Linked DNA regions of Schizosaccharomyces pombe. Each later gene encodes a partner of the first gene's protein in a complex. Each region holds a gene or a part of one and is shown on either strand. Other genes may lie near its edges. The genes, in order: gos1 and sec20.

Evidence for each region.
Region 2: gos1 (region 1) and sec20 share a complex: the UniProt entries of both Schizosaccharomyces pombe proteins name them as parts of the SNARE complex.

What each region holds. Positions count from the first base shown.
Region 1 is NC_003424.3:779,125-783,936, reverse strand, and holds gos1 (SNARE protein Gos1), read right to left. Parts: upstream 2,577-4,812; 5' UTR 2,451-2,576; coding exon 1,902-2,450; 3' UTR 1,796-1,901; coding exon of another isoform or gene 1,601-1,795; 3' UTR 1,500-1,600; coding exon of another isoform or gene 1,233-1,499; 3' UTR 1,135-1,232; coding exon of another isoform or gene 793-1,134; 3' UTR 518-792; downstream 1-517. Other genes in the region: atp10 (F1-F0 ATPase assembly protein), read left to right, coding at 793-1,134, 1,233-1,499, 1,601-1,795; SPOM_SPAC4G8.09 (leucine--tRNA (Leu) ligase), read right to left, coding at 2,781-4,812. UniProt on the Schizosaccharomyces pombe protein: Nonessential SNARE involved in retrograde transport within the Golgi complex.
Region 2 is NC_003424.3:4,103,206-4,106,961, forward strand, and holds sec20 (SNARE protein Sec20), read right to left. Parts: upstream 1,514-3,756; 5' UTR 1,418-1,513; coding exon 737-1,417; 3' UTR 528-736; downstream 1-527. Other genes in the region: RNA polymerase II CTD phosphatase Rtr1, read right to left, coding at 1,911-2,504; bbc1 (SH3 domain-containing protein), read left to right, coding at 3,622-3,756. UniProt on the Schizosaccharomyces pombe protein: SNARE required for targeting and fusion of Golgi-derived retrograde transport vesicles with the ER.

The DNA.
Region 1 (4,812 bases):
AAGTGGTCAACCCCCCCACATAGTACTTGAGGTAGTAGACGAAGTCATAATTGCTATTCAAGTGAGTAATGTCTTAAAGAGAATATGGACCCCCCATTAGTACTTTCTAACCCACTTGGAAATTGAAATTGCTTTGATTTTTAAGCATTATGAATTAATATAATATTAATGCGTATTAGCTTATATAAACGATTACTAAATTATATTCTCATAGTTTTTCATGCATCTACATAAACAGTCGGCAGGGACGTAAAAAGCTACTCTTTTAACTATGATTTTGTATTGTAGTACATTAAGAAGGGTAAGTAAGGTCTTTATATTGTAATCTCTACGCCCTGGTTGACAGCTGTTTTAATAAGCTAGAATTTTTCGCTAAATGAGTTTGCTTTAAACATTGAATTAATTAGAAAGGTTTGTATTGTTCATTATCTCAGCATTCCATTTCCTATCCTTACATGCACGTTCAATGTAAGTTGAAAAGATAGTATTCAATGAAAGATTCGCAATCCAATGAAAAGCCAATTTTAGTCTTGAATTATATTACAATGAAATTAAAAGGAGAAAACCTTTATCGTAGATATATACTAATGTCCAAAAACAAATTAAAAAACCAAAATGAAAATTAAGATATGAATTTTTAACGTCAGAGTACTTCCACCTGTAACAACAGCTCCTTTCTGCTATACCTATCTATTGAAGTTTATAATAATAATTAAGTTCATCCTTGCGTTTCTTAAATCGCATAATAAATTAAAGATTATTTCCCCTTTAATCTACCTATAATTGGTAAACATGGCATATAATTATTTAAAAAATTTAGTCATTCCGAGGTTGATTGTTAAGCATCAGTTCAAGTTGCGTTCTTTTAGCACCAAAAGTCTCAATGATACAAAAGAAAAAGCCCCATCTGCTCTCATTCCAGTAGGTTTACTGGTAAAACCGACGATGCTTTCTGAAGTCCAAAAGCCAACATTATGGGAAAAACTTACCAAACCCGCGAGTACATCTTCTCCTGAGCAAAGACAGAAGGAGCTGCTGAATGAAATGAAGAGATCAACTATTCAAGATTTCAACGAAGTTCGTCGATTTAATGGTAAGCTGTTTTACAGTCCTCCAAGATTATTTAAGGAGAAGGTATGAACAATTGGTTAAAAGTAATATTCATTTCTGGAAATTTCAAATAAGAATGAAAAAAAATTAGTTTATTGCTTAAAAATATTGACACGTTTTAGAGCGCCTTATGGATGTACAACTTTCATGGGAAGTCATTACGAAATCAGTACAAAGAGCTATATAAAGATTGGCAAGGCTCGCCCTTTTTCTTTGCATTATTTAGCAACGCGTTTGGAGAAAACCAATGTAGGAATTGGATTCAACATCTAGCTCCATTTGATTATCTGCCAGTTCGTTATGCAAATGTTCAATCCAATCTAATAAAATATTGGCTACAGAAGATATTTATAGGAAAAGTTAAAAGATCAATACCAGAAAAGTGCTGGGTAAGTAGACGCATTATTTGTCCAAGCTGCTCACAAGTTTGTTCGCTTGATAAGATAGATTTATTTACTTCCAAAATTTATAACCTTTTGCTAACTAGCAGAATGAATATATTACAGCATACGACAATAAGTTCAGTTTCCCAGAAATAGGATGGAACAACAAACTTGTTGGAAATGTGTATTTAATTGACGATTCCTGCAAAATTCGCTGGCTTGGAACCGGTGATCCAACTAATGTCGAAATTGAAAACCTGAAGACAGCGATTAAGTTTTTGGTAAATAAAAACGTTGGTTAAAAGTAAAAGGACTTTTATATTATTTCATCTTAATTAAACCTTTATGACATATTCATAACTTTGGCGGGATCAATGCCCTTCATAAACGTTTCATAAAACATGCAACTTAATGAAAAAAAAGGAACAAAAGCATCAAGACAGATATGAGTAAAGCTAAAATGATAGAATCACGTCTTCGACGGATCGAGGTTTTCCTTAATATTTGATTAATAAAAGGGATTGACATGGCCGCCCCGTTTATGCGATTGGTCACATTTCCTAAGACGCTATTTTGGTAATCAAAGTCTTCCCTCGTAGCATAAGCTCTTTCAAGAAGCTCATTAGTGCCTCTAATAGAATTGTCTAAAGAGTTTGCCTCTTGCATTTCTAAAAAGTTTTGTGCATCTCGTAATTCTTCAGGAGATAGAACTTCCTGTTTCGCATCATATTTTTTCAAAACGCCATTAAGAAGTTGCTCATCTCGTTTTAGTCTTTCAAAATGTGATTTGATAGTAGCCATTGAATGCGAGTCATTTTCGTCAGCTGAAGAGTTGGCTTCTTCAAGAAGCTTCCTTCTTTCCTCTAGCAGAATTTTAGCTTGGTTAGGATCACTGTGCAACGATCTTTGGAACTGAGACGCTTTTTTCACCGAATCTCTCAAAAGCATAGACTTCATGGCTAAAGAGATCTTCAAATTTTTATAAGAGAAAAATTAGTAGCTTAAGTTATGATTTTAAAACAAACGTTTCTCTTCTGTTGATTAATGTGGCTTTCAGATGACGTTCTTACTAGTATGTAGTTTAGAGAAGTATCCCACTACGTAGAGATTCCTAAATATACCAGTGATAGAAAAGCTATGCTACTAGAAAACATTGTGATATTAAGATAGGATATTTTTCATTCAAAATGAATTTTAAGCATTAAATTAACTACGCAACCAACATTGCATTGTTATGGTAAATATCAAAATTATTTTGAAACATGAAGCTCGTGTCTCAACCAACTTTCAGTCGGTGACTAAACTGATGATTTTTTGTTTCACAAAAGATTTTAAAACTTTTTTATTAGAGAGCCAACGTTTCCCATCATTCGTCTCAAGCACAAAATTTAGTATTTCATTTTCATCATTGAGTTTGGGCATTTCAATCTTAAATCTCACCTTACCATTAATTTGGACAGGAATAGTAACGGGCTCCTCCATATTCTCCTTTTTATTTTTGGAAATGGGCCAGTTAGAGTAAACGGAAGAATTATGTCCTAGCAGCAACCAACACTCACTTGAAAAACAAGGTATTATTGGAGCAATACATTTCACAAGCACTTCCAAAGATGCTTTAATTGTTCCGATATTGACTTTGTTATTTTTTAAAGCATCTGCTATATTATTAGTCAATTTCATGGCGTCAGAAATTACTAAATTGAGAGAAAATACATTTTCATAATGAGCAGAACATTGTGAAATAAATTCATTATATTGTGATTCGAGTTTCCTGCTATTGTGATCGTCGACAATAGTTAACTTCGTTTGTCTCATCGCATCAGACATTTTTTTCTCACGTTCCAATAACTGATGAACACAATTCCATATTTTGGTTAACCACCGTTTTGTTCCCATTATTGCATTTTCATTCCAAAGGAGTACGCCTTCCACTGGAGCTGAAAATATTATGTAAGCTCTAATAATGTCTGAGCCATATTTTTGAATAGTACGTATCGGATCTACACCGTTATGCTTGCTTTTGCTCATTTTCTGGTAAGAAAGTTGAACTTTCTCTTTAGGATTACTGATTAGAAAATATTCGTCTCCAATTTTCTGGACTTCTTTTGGATTAAGTATTCGTTCATCCGACATCGTTGTATAAGTAAGACCATGAACCATCCCCTGAGTAATTAGTTGAGTAAATGGTTCATTTAAATATTTATCACCATTCCATAACCCAATATCCTTCATGAATTTTGAAAAAAACCTGGAATATAGAAGATGAAGTATTGAATGCTCAACGCCACCAATATAAATATCAACAGGCATCAAAGAGGACGCACTTGCTAAACCTACAGGAAGCTCCGAGTTTTTAGAATCCAAAAAACGAAAATAATACCATGATGAGTCTACAAATGTGTCCATAGTATCAGTTTCTCTTGTTGCTGGGCCATGACATTTCGGACAGGTTGTTTTCATCCATGTTTCTAGATTTGATAACGGCGAAGTACCTTTTTCATATATTTTATCAAGATCAGGCAACTTTACAGGAAGTTCAGATTCAGGGACTGGGACAGCACCACAGGTTTCGCAGTGAACCATTGGTATAGGAGTACCCCAAAATCTTTGTCTTGATATAAGCCAATCTTTGAGTCTATAATTTTTAACACGTTTGGCTAATTTCTTCTCTTCAAGGTAACTGACAATCTTTTGCTGAAGCATTTTTTGCTTGATATCCATTAAATTCGAAGAATCATGATGATTCAAAAGTTCTTTTCCCTCATTTGTAAAATATGAACCTATACAACTTTCTTTAGAAAATATTATGTTATTACGCTTAGCAAACTCAAAATCTCGGCGGTCGTGAATAGGTGCGCCCATAACGGCGCCAGTACCATAACAGTCCAAAACGTAAGGAGCATAAAATATTGGTAAAGCTTTGCCAGTTACTGGATTTTTTGCAAAGCACGGGAGCTGATATCCTTTGTCTAGTAAGGATTCATTGCGAAGATGTTCTGCCAACGAAGGATCCTTTTGGGATTCTAGTAAAACAAGTTTATGGTTTTTTGAAAGAGCTATAAAACTAACATCTATTATTGTTTCAGGTTTAGTAGTGAAAACTGTAAGAGTTTCTTTATCGTTTAGCAAAGGAAAAGATATTTCAAAACCCGTAGTTCGACCAATCCAATTGCGCTGCATCTTCTTTACTTTGTCAGGCCATTTTGGTAATGTTTCAAGGTCATCGAGCAGCTGATCTGAATAGTCTGAAATTTTTAGAAACCATTGTCGAAGATTTTTCTTTTCTACTATGGCACCGCTCCTCCAGGACCTCCCATGT
Region 2 (3,756 bases), 3.3 Mb from region 1:
GTTGTGAGACATCGCGGGGCATGTGCCTTAATTTATATCGTTATGCTTACGTGCTTGTAAACACTATATTACGCATTTGAAGTAGAAAGCACACAAACAAATAGAACCAGGACACTGAATAATTAGAACGTTTGGTTAATGAATTTTTACATAAGCAGTTATTAGTTTTAAGTTTATAGGTTTAATGGAGTTTGCTATCCGATCTCAGATTCTAGGCGTTCGTACCGGACCCTAGAAAATATGCGACAGACTTAACAAGATGCGTTTCCCAATTAACAAGCGCTCTAGTTTTTATTAGGAATTCAAAGAATACTGCTCTTTTTGTACTGTGGTCAAACAAATGGTTTTGACAATCAAAGAGGCATATACAATAAGAATGATTTGAAATGCAGCTGCATGCCGACTGTCGCATATTTCGTGAGCAAGAACTCATTTTGTTTACGGAATGGCGTTTCCCATTGAGTTACAAATACTATAGCATTACTATCATCAGCAAACTTCTACGCCATTCAACGTTTTTATTTAAAGAGAACAACACGTAAATAAAAACCAATCGTATAAGATAAACATTAAAACATAAGAACTACTTTACAAAGACTTTTTCAAAATAAAATTGAGAAAAAGGGCGAAAAAATAATTTCTCGTATAGATACTTCGAGCTCGATGGGAACGAGCCTCAAAAAGCCTTGCTTTTAATCTCGCCTTTCTTTTTAATAAACAATGCATTTTCAAAATCTCACCGAAGAAACCAAAGAAACATAGAAAGAATAGGCCAGACAATTCGCTTGAAGAGAAGATAGACAACCACAAATATGAAGAACCCAAATCCCGAGACGACTAAAAAGTAATCACTTCGATCACTTAATTTGAGCGATTTGATTATCCGTTTACTTGTATATAAAACGTCCTCTACACCAAAATATTTCTCTTGTAGAGTTTCTAACAAGTTGGTACTCGAAGACAACTCCATTGCATTTTCGGCACTCATATCCACTGCCTGTACCATTTGTGCGTGAATATCACGCATAGCCGCCGTGACCTGACTGGCGCTTGTAAGATAAATATCATCAGATTGCCACGAACCAGAGTTATCCATTGAACGCTTTTGAAGAGAACCATCACTTGGTGAGGTAATTTCCTCTTCATCTACAATCTTACCTATTTCTTGTGCGATAGGCAACCATGGTTCACCACTAGCAATCTTATTCCGATATCTTCTGTTCAACCGAATGTATTCTTGTACAGCCTTTTCATATCGTAGAACTGAGTCTAGCTGAATGGATGAGTATTCAAGCTCTACCCTTGCAGTTTCCCATATTTTTCTAAACTCTCGAAAATGCCTTTTAATAACTTCAACGCTTTCTGACTGTTGTAATTCAACAACTTTTTCTTCTAGTGCATTCAGAACGTCGGCCATCGAATGCTATGTTCTCTGCTTTATTGAACAAGTTAAAGGAGAAATAGTATTATGAGATGCAAGAGGAAAGAACGATAAAGGTAAATGATGATGAGTGGGAAACGAATGATGGATGCACTAACAATATAGCACAGCTGAAGGTGAATATAAGACTATACATCGAAAGGTTCGGTATATAGAATAAGGAAAAGAAATCAAATGCGGAATTATAAATAACGAGAAATAAAGATGCTAAGAGAGAGAAAGAGACAATAAAGATAGAAGGCAATAAGGTGAAATAAATTAGAAAGTGTAAATGGTAAAGGGAATATTGTATCGATCTTTAATAAAAAGTCGAAAACCACAGAAATGTTACTATGCACGCAACTGTAGAATGAAGCAACCTTTCATTCTAGTTCAAACGACGCTAGACACAAGTCGGTGTCTTTTTTGTTCAAAAATATTATACATATTCTGGGGTGAAAAGAAAAAATTTGATAAACTTCCATTTGCTTTATGATTGTTCATTAGCCAAAGGATGTTCAACGATTTCACCAACTTTTGCCTTATAACCCACAGGCAACGCTTGCAGGAGTAAGCGTACATCTTCAATTTTTTTGTTTTCCAACTCTTTACGAAATGCTTCATCTTGACGAGGATCGAGATGTTGTTTCATAGCTTCGCGAGCATCTTCACGTATCCATAATGGTTCGTCGCTCAACTCAACCATATATTGACAACTTTTTAGAAAGCAATCCTTCGAGCAATAATAGTTGAGTCCACCGTAGACCTTCATTCCTGAATCTTCTAATTTATACCTAGTTTGCTGCTTAGGTTCATAAGGACAAACGGGATAACCGCACAGATTGACGAGTTTACGCTCCTTCACCACTTGATCGTAATCACTTTTTCGAAGGTATTTACGAGCTTCCTCTAAAGTTTCTAGGGAAACCGGATCAACCAGCTTTTCAATCCATTCGAGGGCAAAAAAATCATACTGAAGTCGACTGCGTGCTTCATCTATAAGACTCTTCGACCACGTGATCAATTGCTTTTCTTGAGTGCTTTGAGCATTTTTCGGCTTTTTGAGAATTGATTTTTTGTTCATATCTGAATTGGATATATTGGAGTCAGCTGGAAAACAGAAGGTCTTAAAAATCGCTATTAGGCAGATATGAGTCAGTCAAGCATTGGAAGGAGGAATGAGCATCGTAAAAATACTTTAGCGCCGTGCAATTTTTGTTAAAGAGTTCTTGAGTTACGCAATTCATTTACAGCGAACTAAGACAGTGCGTTGGCCTTGGTACTAAAAATTTTGATAGAAATTACCCTCTCAGTTGAGTGTGGACAAAGGAAAAAAAATAAAGAAAAGCATGCGTTGCACCAATCATGTAAAGAAAGTTTTGTAGGTCTCTTTAAGAAAATCATTTTACCGTTAAAAATAATAATGATAAATTTACATCCACCCTATTCATATCTTCCACTAGTAAATAACTGGTCCTTAATCTTAATGATTCATATCCATATCCATACCATACCCCACACCCACACAGTAATCGTAAATATAGCAAACCAACGATGCTGTGGCTTCGTTTTAGGATTGCTAGTGTATCCTTATGTAAAATAGGAAACCAGATCCAATTGCGTAAATATTATTATAACGTTAAATAACAAAAACCAATCAACATTGATAAGCAAAATAATACCCAATAATCTTACAGTGCATTACGCTACCTTTGGCTAGTCGAACGAATCACTGTCAACAAGATGTTACGATTGGAAGGGAATTCCCCAGATCCTTTCCCCACAATGTTCATTCATTGAAAATCGTCTCACATGTAGTCAGTCGCTTCTTCACGTGCGATATTATCATTTGGGTGTTTATTGCTGTTAAGATTGACCAAACTTCTTTGTCTGCACAAATCGCGTGCCCTTTAGGAACCAAAATGACAGTGTACTGGCTTAGATATCCTAATAGAAGAGATTAACGATGACGTTCAGCTTCGCTATCATTTGTATATATTTTTAGTGGTAAAATAAATCGGCGGAGCCTTCATCTTTGGTATCTTGTTTTCTCTTTTTTTGGCTTTTTGTATATCTGTGTTTTAGGAAAAAAGAATCAGTGTATTGTATATTGAATGGTACCATTCTTTTTATACTGGTTCATTGTTTATCTGATCTCTCTTTGTACTTAAAAAAAGTATTAGCGGATCGCAGGCTCCACGATGAGCTCGTTTCCCACAAGAGTGGTTGCACTCTATCCTTATAGAAGCAGCTTCTCCGATGACTTGGAATTTGATCCAGGCCAAGTTATCGACGTCGTCAGTAATCTGGACGGCGACTGGTATACCGGAACATAT